2 linked regions of the Rattus norvegicus genome follow. Each later gene encodes a partner of the first gene's protein in a complex. Links are inferred from orthologs where the notes say so. Each region holds a gene or a part of one and is shown on either strand. Other genes may lie near its edges.

The links.
Region 2: Ctnnd1 (region 1) and Cdh26 share a complex: the UniProt entries of both Homo sapiens proteins name them as parts of the cadherin:catenin adhesion complex. The link is inferred for Rattus norvegicus from reciprocal best matches to the Homo sapiens genes CTNND1 and CDH26.

The regions. Positions count from the first base shown.
Region 1 is NC_086021.1:90,113,568-90,117,381, forward strand, and holds part of Ctnnd1 (catenin delta-1), read right to left. Parts: intron 2,905-3,814; exon of another isoform or gene 2,787-2,904; intron 1,180-2,786; 5' UTR 1,086-1,179; coding exon 891-1,085; intron 1-890. UniProt on the Homo sapiens protein: Key regulator of cell-cell adhesion that associates with and regulates the cell adhesion properties of both C-, E- and N-cadherins, being critical for their surface stability.
Region 2 is NC_086021.1:185,929,353-185,933,166, forward strand, and holds part of Cdh26 (cadherin-like protein 26 precursor), read left to right. Parts: intron 1-2,139; coding exon 2,140-2,385; intron 2,386-3,814. UniProt on the Homo sapiens protein: Cadherins are calcium-dependent cell adhesion proteins. They preferentially interact with themselves in a homophilic manner in connecting cells; cadherins may thus contribute to the sorting of heterogeneous cell types.

The sequences.
Region 1 (3,814 bases):
ATTTGCCTAGCATGGTCAGGGCTCTAGGGTCAATCCCTAGCTACAAGACAAACAAACACACAAAAAACAAATAAGCAATCAAATAAGGACGAAGTGTGAGCCCTGTTCTAATGCCACTCAGACCTCTAGAGGATCAGTCTACTCAAGCAGTGCCCAGCATGTGTGCGTGCACATTCACTCAGATACATTACAGTAAAGTCAGACATAAACCTTAGGGAACACAATATACTTCTCACTTCTAACACCAGTCCTCCCAAGTCACATCTAAGTCAGCCAACCCTGAGACTACTGCTGCTCCTGTGGTTATCTGGGTTAAATAATAGCATGATGCCCCCTCTCCAGCTCTAACCAGCAAAAGTAACAATGATCTCTTCTTCCAAAACATGGTTTACACACCCAACAATAAGCACACAAGGACATATGGGAAAGGAATATGAATATTGGGGATTTATGAACACTGTAACACTTTCTGAGAACAGATTGTTCGCTAGTTGAGATTGAACTGGAGCTAGGAGCTCAAGATGCCCAACTTCCCCAACCACTAAGTAGATATACTCTCCTAATTTTTCACCCTGAGAAAAAAAGATATTTCAAGGAAAACAGAAGTGACTCTGAGTGTAGCTACAAAATACAGTACCATAACTAGAAATAACTAGAACTGCATCCCTATCCAAAACAGGAAGTCACAAAGGGTTTCTAAAGTCCATCCAACTCAGATCAGTAACAAATCCCTTATTTCTTAATCAACATTTATAATATTCCTGGAACAGTTCACCGTCAAGTGTAAACACTGGACAGCCCAGGGCCAGTAGCATCTCATTAAGGATCTGTAGGCCTCAGTTGCAACCATGCCAACGTCCTACCTGCAGGTCTGATGGAGAAAGGGTTACCTGATGCCGACGGGTGAGGGTGCCGTTGGCCATGAGTGAGTTGGCATCTTGTGGTGAGACCCGGACGCGTTCCAGTTGCGCCGACACATGGCGCCGCTCCTCCTCCAGCGCCCGGGTCAGCTTCTCAAATTGTGCCTCTTGTTCTTTCACAGAGGCCAAGATGCTGGCGGTCGACTCCACCTCTGAGTCGTCCATGAAGGTAAGGGGAGGAGCCGCCGCAGGGCAGGATAAAAAGTAAGGTGGACCACAGAGGGAGTAGAAAGAAGGGAGTAGGTCCCCTCACTTCACACTAGGGGTGGGGGGAGGGGTAAGAGAGAAGAGAAAAGATCACAGGTCAGAGAAGACAGAAGAATTGTTAATCCCCAGCGCCAAAGATGCCCTCTGTGTTTTTACTGCAGTGCAGAAAGCAAGCCACCACCAACCAAGCTTGGGAGCCCATCACCAAGGTCTGTTCCAATAGGAAGGACCCTTCGCCTACTTCCCTCTTTAACACTCTACGAACTCCTTCCTATTGAAAGAAAAGGTGGCAGTTTGACCAAAGTCTCTATACTATTGGCAGGACAGAGACACCATAGCGTGGGATTAAAATTAGATTGTTTTTCTCTGGAAATATTTGCAGGCATCAGCTTAATAAAAGTTAACTCCCGGGTACAAGGACAAGTTACTTCTACAAGTAATGGACAACGCAAATTTTACTTAACCTCTCCCAAACCTGAACACTATAAATGTAGCTGTAGTGATAAATTATAATAAATGAAAATGTCAGTTAAGAAATGGAGATATTAGCTAAGTGGTGGAGGTGCATGCTTCTAATGTTAACACTTGGGAGGCAGAGGCAGGCAGAGCTCTGTGAGTTTGAGGCCAGCCTGGTCCACAGATAAAGAGTTCCAGGACAACCAGGGCTACATACCGAGAGAAACTCTGTCTTGGAATAAAAAAAAAAAAGAACCCAGTGAACTAGTCTATGGGGGGAGGGCGGCAATGGGGGGAGGGTTGGGAGGGGAACACCCATAAGGAAGGGGAGGGGGGAGGGGGATGTTTGCCCGGAAACCGGGAAAGGGAATAACACTCGAAATGTATATAAGAAATACTCAAGTTAATAAAAAAAATTAAAAAAAAAAAAACAATATTTCAATACTCATGCCAAAAAAAAAAAAAAAGAAAAGAAAAGAAAAGAAAGGAAGGAAGGAAGGGGGAGAGAGAGAGAAGGAAAAGAAAAGGGAAAAAAGAAATATAGAAGAACTTCCCAGATAGAAAGGCAAAAGAACTTAAACTTCCATGTCTCACACATGTGTAAAGAGGCCTTTCTATCTCACAAAACTATACTACATGATAGAGGGCAAAACATGCTAATGGGAACAACAGTGACAGAACCTCAGACACTGTACAAAAAGGCTTTGCCTCAAGCCATCTGTGGTGCAGGCCTGCAACCCCACCTTCTCAGAAGGTGGAAGATCACAACTTCTGTGGCTAGCCTACATAAATTTGTGGCCAGCCTGGGCAACTTAACAACATCTTGTCTCAAGTTTTTGTGGCCAGGTGTAGTAGCTCATAGCTTTAATCTCAGCACTTGGGAGGCAGGTGCAGATGGCTCACTATGAGTTCAAGGCCAGCCTGGTCTACAGAGCAAGTTCCAGAACAATCAGAACTACATAAAGAAATCCTGTCTCAAAAGCAGGATAGATAGATAGGTAGGTAGGTAGGTAGGTAGGTAGGTAGGTAGGTAGACAGACAGACATATAGATAGATAAGACAGACAGATAAAATGTATACTGTTGAATGGCAAACTAGGAGGAATTTTTTTCTCTCTTATTCCCTTAACTTCTCACCAAACACCTAAGGGAGAAAAAGGCACCTAAAATAACTTTTAATTCTTAATATATATTCCATACACACCTGTTAAGAGAAGGCCCGTAATTGATTGGTTTAGCACAGAGAATAGCCCAGTCTAGATTCAGATAAACCATGGAAGCATCCCAGCCACCTCAGCAAGCAGCAAGCAGGAAGGAGAAAGCTGCAGAAATATTTGGAGGAAAAATGAGAATGGGAAGAAAATAAACTACACCCACTGCATACATATAAGAGGGTGACGGGAGTATTAGAAATGAAAGGGGGTTATTTAAGAAACAACTTGGAGTTGCTTAATGAAACAAATACCCTTTAAACTTTGCTGTGTTCAGATATCTAGGCTTTGGATGTAGGATTAATTAAAGCACAGACTGCACTGTCACTGCAGTTCCTCTACTTGTAAATCCACGCAGAACCAGACCAGGGTACAATGTAGATAAAGCCACATAGGCAACTGATTTGGGGGTGAAATTTGTTAGAATGCCCTTCCCCCTCCTTCCTACCCTTAAGGCAGAAACCTCAAAGCCCAGTTCCAGCATGCCCACAAAGACATTGAGAAACCAATGTAATAGTCATGGGGGGGAAGACATGTGGGGACTAGCCTAGGCTGGGCCTTCTGCTCAGGCTCCGTTTCCCACGCTTCCCAGAGCCCCACCAAACACAAAAGCTAGGGCCTGTTTGCCTTAAATGTATCCGGCATTCAGCAGGCAAGAGTACCTAGAGGAAACTGATAAACAGGTGCCCAGTAAACTGAATTGGTTCAGTCACTAAATCCGAGAACACATTGAACTGTCCCTAAATGCGTCCTATACCCAGTCCTAGGCTCCCACAATCATTTATCAACCACTGTTCTCATTCAGCCCAATACCCAATGCCCCAGTGCCACTTTCCCATACTCCTACTCCACATTCCAAATGGCCACTCAGAGGTCTTTCTTTAACACATTGTTTTTGGATTTTTGTTTGTTTGTGGCAGTCTCCTAGGCTGGCCTCAAACTCACTATAAAGCTGAAGCTGGCCTCGAATTCCTGATCCTCCTGTGTCTACTTTCCAAGTACTGGAGTATATAAGAATTTA
Region 2 (3,814 bases), about 96 Mb from region 1:
TGATAATAACTCCAGCAATGGCAAACCGGGGACTGATGCTGCTGAAAGAGGGGCAGCGTTCACTCAGCAGAGACAATTAAGCCAGCGAGGAGTCGGCAATCACACCCACCCGTCTTGTCTGCCTGGAAGATAATGCAGTAGCTCTTTGTCAAGACCAACGATGTGTGATAAATATTTAGCAGTTTCCCGTACCTGGGACGGCTCGTAAGCTCCAGCAAATGTGTCTGAGTGGAACGCATTTGTCATAAACCAGGACGAGTGATTTTAAAAACACGTCTTAGCACATTTCTCCAAATTCCCACAAGGCTGAAGTTAAACGCGTCCAAACATAAAGCTGCATGTGTGGACATTTTCAAGTAACATTAAGAACCGTACTTAAAGAAGTCCGTGGATGAAAGCCCCAAGCGCTGTGGGCCTGCCCAGCCCATTTGCATAATTATCTGACAGAATGTTAGGGACCTGAGATGCTATCCCATGCTCAGGAAGGGAAGCCGGCCAACCTGGCACTCAGGGTTCCATGATTCAGTGAGGGATGGCTTCATGATTCCCATGATCTACTTTTAATTACAAGAGGTGATTTCTGAATGATCATAAATTTGTCGCCATGATCCTATCCTGCCCTCCGTTGGGGTCCCCAGTCTGCCAGAATAATTCAGAGGTGCTGGGGTACAGAGACAAGTGAGTTTATTATAGAGGACAGTGGGCACCTGTAGGAATGAGAGTGGACAGTGGTAGTGTGGCCCACTGAGGAGGAAAGCATATTATGGGGCGAGGAGAGAGGTCCATGGCCAGAGAGACCACCATTAGCTTTCACTGTTAGTCAGGCTTCATACTCTTCCTACAGTCTCTAAAGGAGGCCCTTTCCCGAGGGGCATTTCCCTTCCCAGTGTCTGTCAGTTCTTTGATCTTCACCAGAAAACCTTTAGTGGGTAGCATTGATGAACAGACTGTTTGATTGATTGCCATGTCTCCACCTGAGGCCAGAGTCCTGCCTTTCTGTTCCTGTTTCTACCAGCTGCTGACCATGAGGGGAAGATCCATGCTCTGTGACCCACAAGCTGTTAATATCTGACCAGCCACCTTGTAGATTCACTTGTGGTTTTAGCATCCCAACACGCTTTCCCGAGCTTTCCCCAGTGTGCGCTTTATAAAACAGTGTAGTCTGTCTTCATAGGCAATGTCCCTAGCAGACCAGAGCTGACTTCATCTTCCCTGGGGATCCCCTATGCTCCCCTTTTACAGCACTTATCCTTCCCAGCACCTCTGCAGCTTGTACCATGACTGAGACAGGATATGGGATTCTACACCCTATCTCTTCCTTTAAAATCCGTCAGGAACAACTCGTGCTGCCCAATACTGCTACGTGTGTGTGTGTGTGTGTGTGTGTGTGTGTGTGTGTGAGTTGTGTGTGTGAGTGTGAGTGTGTGAGTTGCATGTGTAAGTGTGTGTGTGAGTGTATGTGTGTGTATGTGTGTATATGTGTGTGAGCATGTGTAAGTTGTGTGTGTGTGAGTGTCTGTGTGAGTGTGTGTGAGTGTGTGTGAGTGTGTATGTGTGTATGTTTATGTGTGAACATGTGTGAGTTGTGTGTGTTTGAGTGTCTGTGTGAGTGTGTGTATGTGTGTTATGTGTGTGTGTGTGAGCATATGTGGGTTGTGTGTTGTATGTGTGTGAACATGTGTGTGTGTGAGCATGAGTTGTCTGTGTGAGAGTATATGTGTGAGAGTGTGTGTGTATGTGTGTTGTGTGTGTGAGCATGTGTGTGTGAGCATATGTGAGTTGTGTGTTACATGTGTGTGAGCATGTGTGTGTGTGTGAGTGTACGTGAGTTGTGTATGCATGTGAGTGTGCGAGAGAGTGTATGTGTGAGAGTGTGTGTGTGAGCATGTGTGTGTGAGCATGTGTGAGTGTGTGTGTGAGTGTGTGTGAGTGTATGTGTATGTGTGTGAATACATGTGCATGAGTGTGTACACACTTGCACTGGAGGTGTCCACCACCAGGGCCACACCCTGATGGAGAGACTCTGGACTGTTATAGGCACTTGAGGAACTACTGATGCTGCTTTTCTGTAAGGTCAAGTCCACCCTCTCTCTTTAATATTGTGACCTCCTCTGTTGCCTGGGTTCTGTCCTCTCCAAGGCCTCCCCCCACTGACTGGCACGGGGACTCTGATGCTTTTCCTGTATGATGTCAACGACAATGCTCCAATTCTCCAGCCCCATTCCCGACACTTGGAGATCTGTGAGTCGGCTGGAAACAAGGCCCTGCTGTTGGAAGCCGAGGATGCAGACCTGGACCCCTACGCTGGCCCCTTTACTTTTGATTTGGACTCTGACCAGGGAGATGTGAGAGAGATTTGGATGCTGAGGATAAAGCAGGAGGAAGGTTTGTATGGGTTGGGGGCTAACCCAGACTGGAGCAAAGTGTGACTTTGGGTGGGGACACTGGGTCATGAAATCTCAAGTGACACTTGGAGAGCCTAAAGACTGGAGTGTGTTTTGTGGGAGACCAGCCCGGATTACTTACCAAGTTCCAGAAAGGACTCTGGGCATGAGGGCTGGGTGAGCATTACATGTCTGCTGTCACTCTTGACTTTCTTGACATCATGGAGGAAGATGACTGCACACCGAGATACCTGCTCTGTTCTCTTCTCTCTCCTAATTTTCACCTGGGTCCCTGTCCTTGGAGTGAACAGCAGCCACGGCTGTAACAATGTGAGGGGTGCTCTTTGAGTCCTAGAGCCATCTAGAGCCCTAGAGTACGTCACCACATGATGTTCTGTGGGGAAGATGTAAAGAAATGTCTATTTATCCCAGCTAGAGAGAGTAACAGGCCAAAGCGAGGAGTTCACCCTAGCCCAGCTTGACAAGGAGAGGGTTCTTTCAGGATCATGGATGAGTCAAAGGCAGGGTCCTGTGAGTGTAGGCTGGATTCTATGAGTGTAGGCAGGATCCTGTGGGTGTAGGAAGGATCCTGTGGTGTAGGTAGGATACTGTGGTGTAGGCAGGATCCTATGGGTGTAGGCAGGATCCTGTGGTGTAGGCAGGATCCTATGGTTGTAGGAAGGATCCTGTGGTGTAGGCAGGATCCTGTGGGTATAGGAAGGATCCTGTGGTGTAGGTAGGATACTGTGTGTAGGCAGGATCCTGTGGGTATAGGCAGGATCCTGTGGTGTAGGCAGGTTCCTGTGGTAGAGGCAGGATCCTGTAGGTGTAGGCAGGATCCTGTGAGTATAGGTAGGAGCCAGGGGTGTAGGTAGGATCCTGTGAGTATGGGCAGGATCCGGGGGTGTAGGCAGGATCCTGTGGGTGTAGGCAGGATCCTACGGGTCTAAGTTGGGTCGTGTGGGTATCATGTGTATGTATAGGCAGGTATGGGCAGGAGCCTGGGGGTGTAGATCAGATCCTGGAGCTTTCCTAAGGCGCTTGTTTGGATAGTATAATTTACAGTACGGTTTAAAGGTTACAGACATTTCTTCTGTCAATAAAGTTGTAATGCAGGTTTATGAGGAGTGTTGTTTATATTCAGGAATAAGGGGTGCTAAAAAATCAAGGCTGTGGACCATCTTGGCCCAGGTTAGCACAGTTTCTCTGTTATTCTCATTTGAGGTGTGGGTAGGAAAACACGCACTGTCCTCACTGTGGGCAATTTTGAATGTATCAATGGTGTCCAGATCTCGGGACAAGGAGCCTCTTTTCTTTCCTACCTGCTCTTTGCTTTTCTAATTTTCTGTCTTTCAGAGCCTCGGCCCTGAACAGTAACAAGAAGTCACACGAGAGGCCAACGAGCCTACTCCTATCCTTCTCCTCTTGCA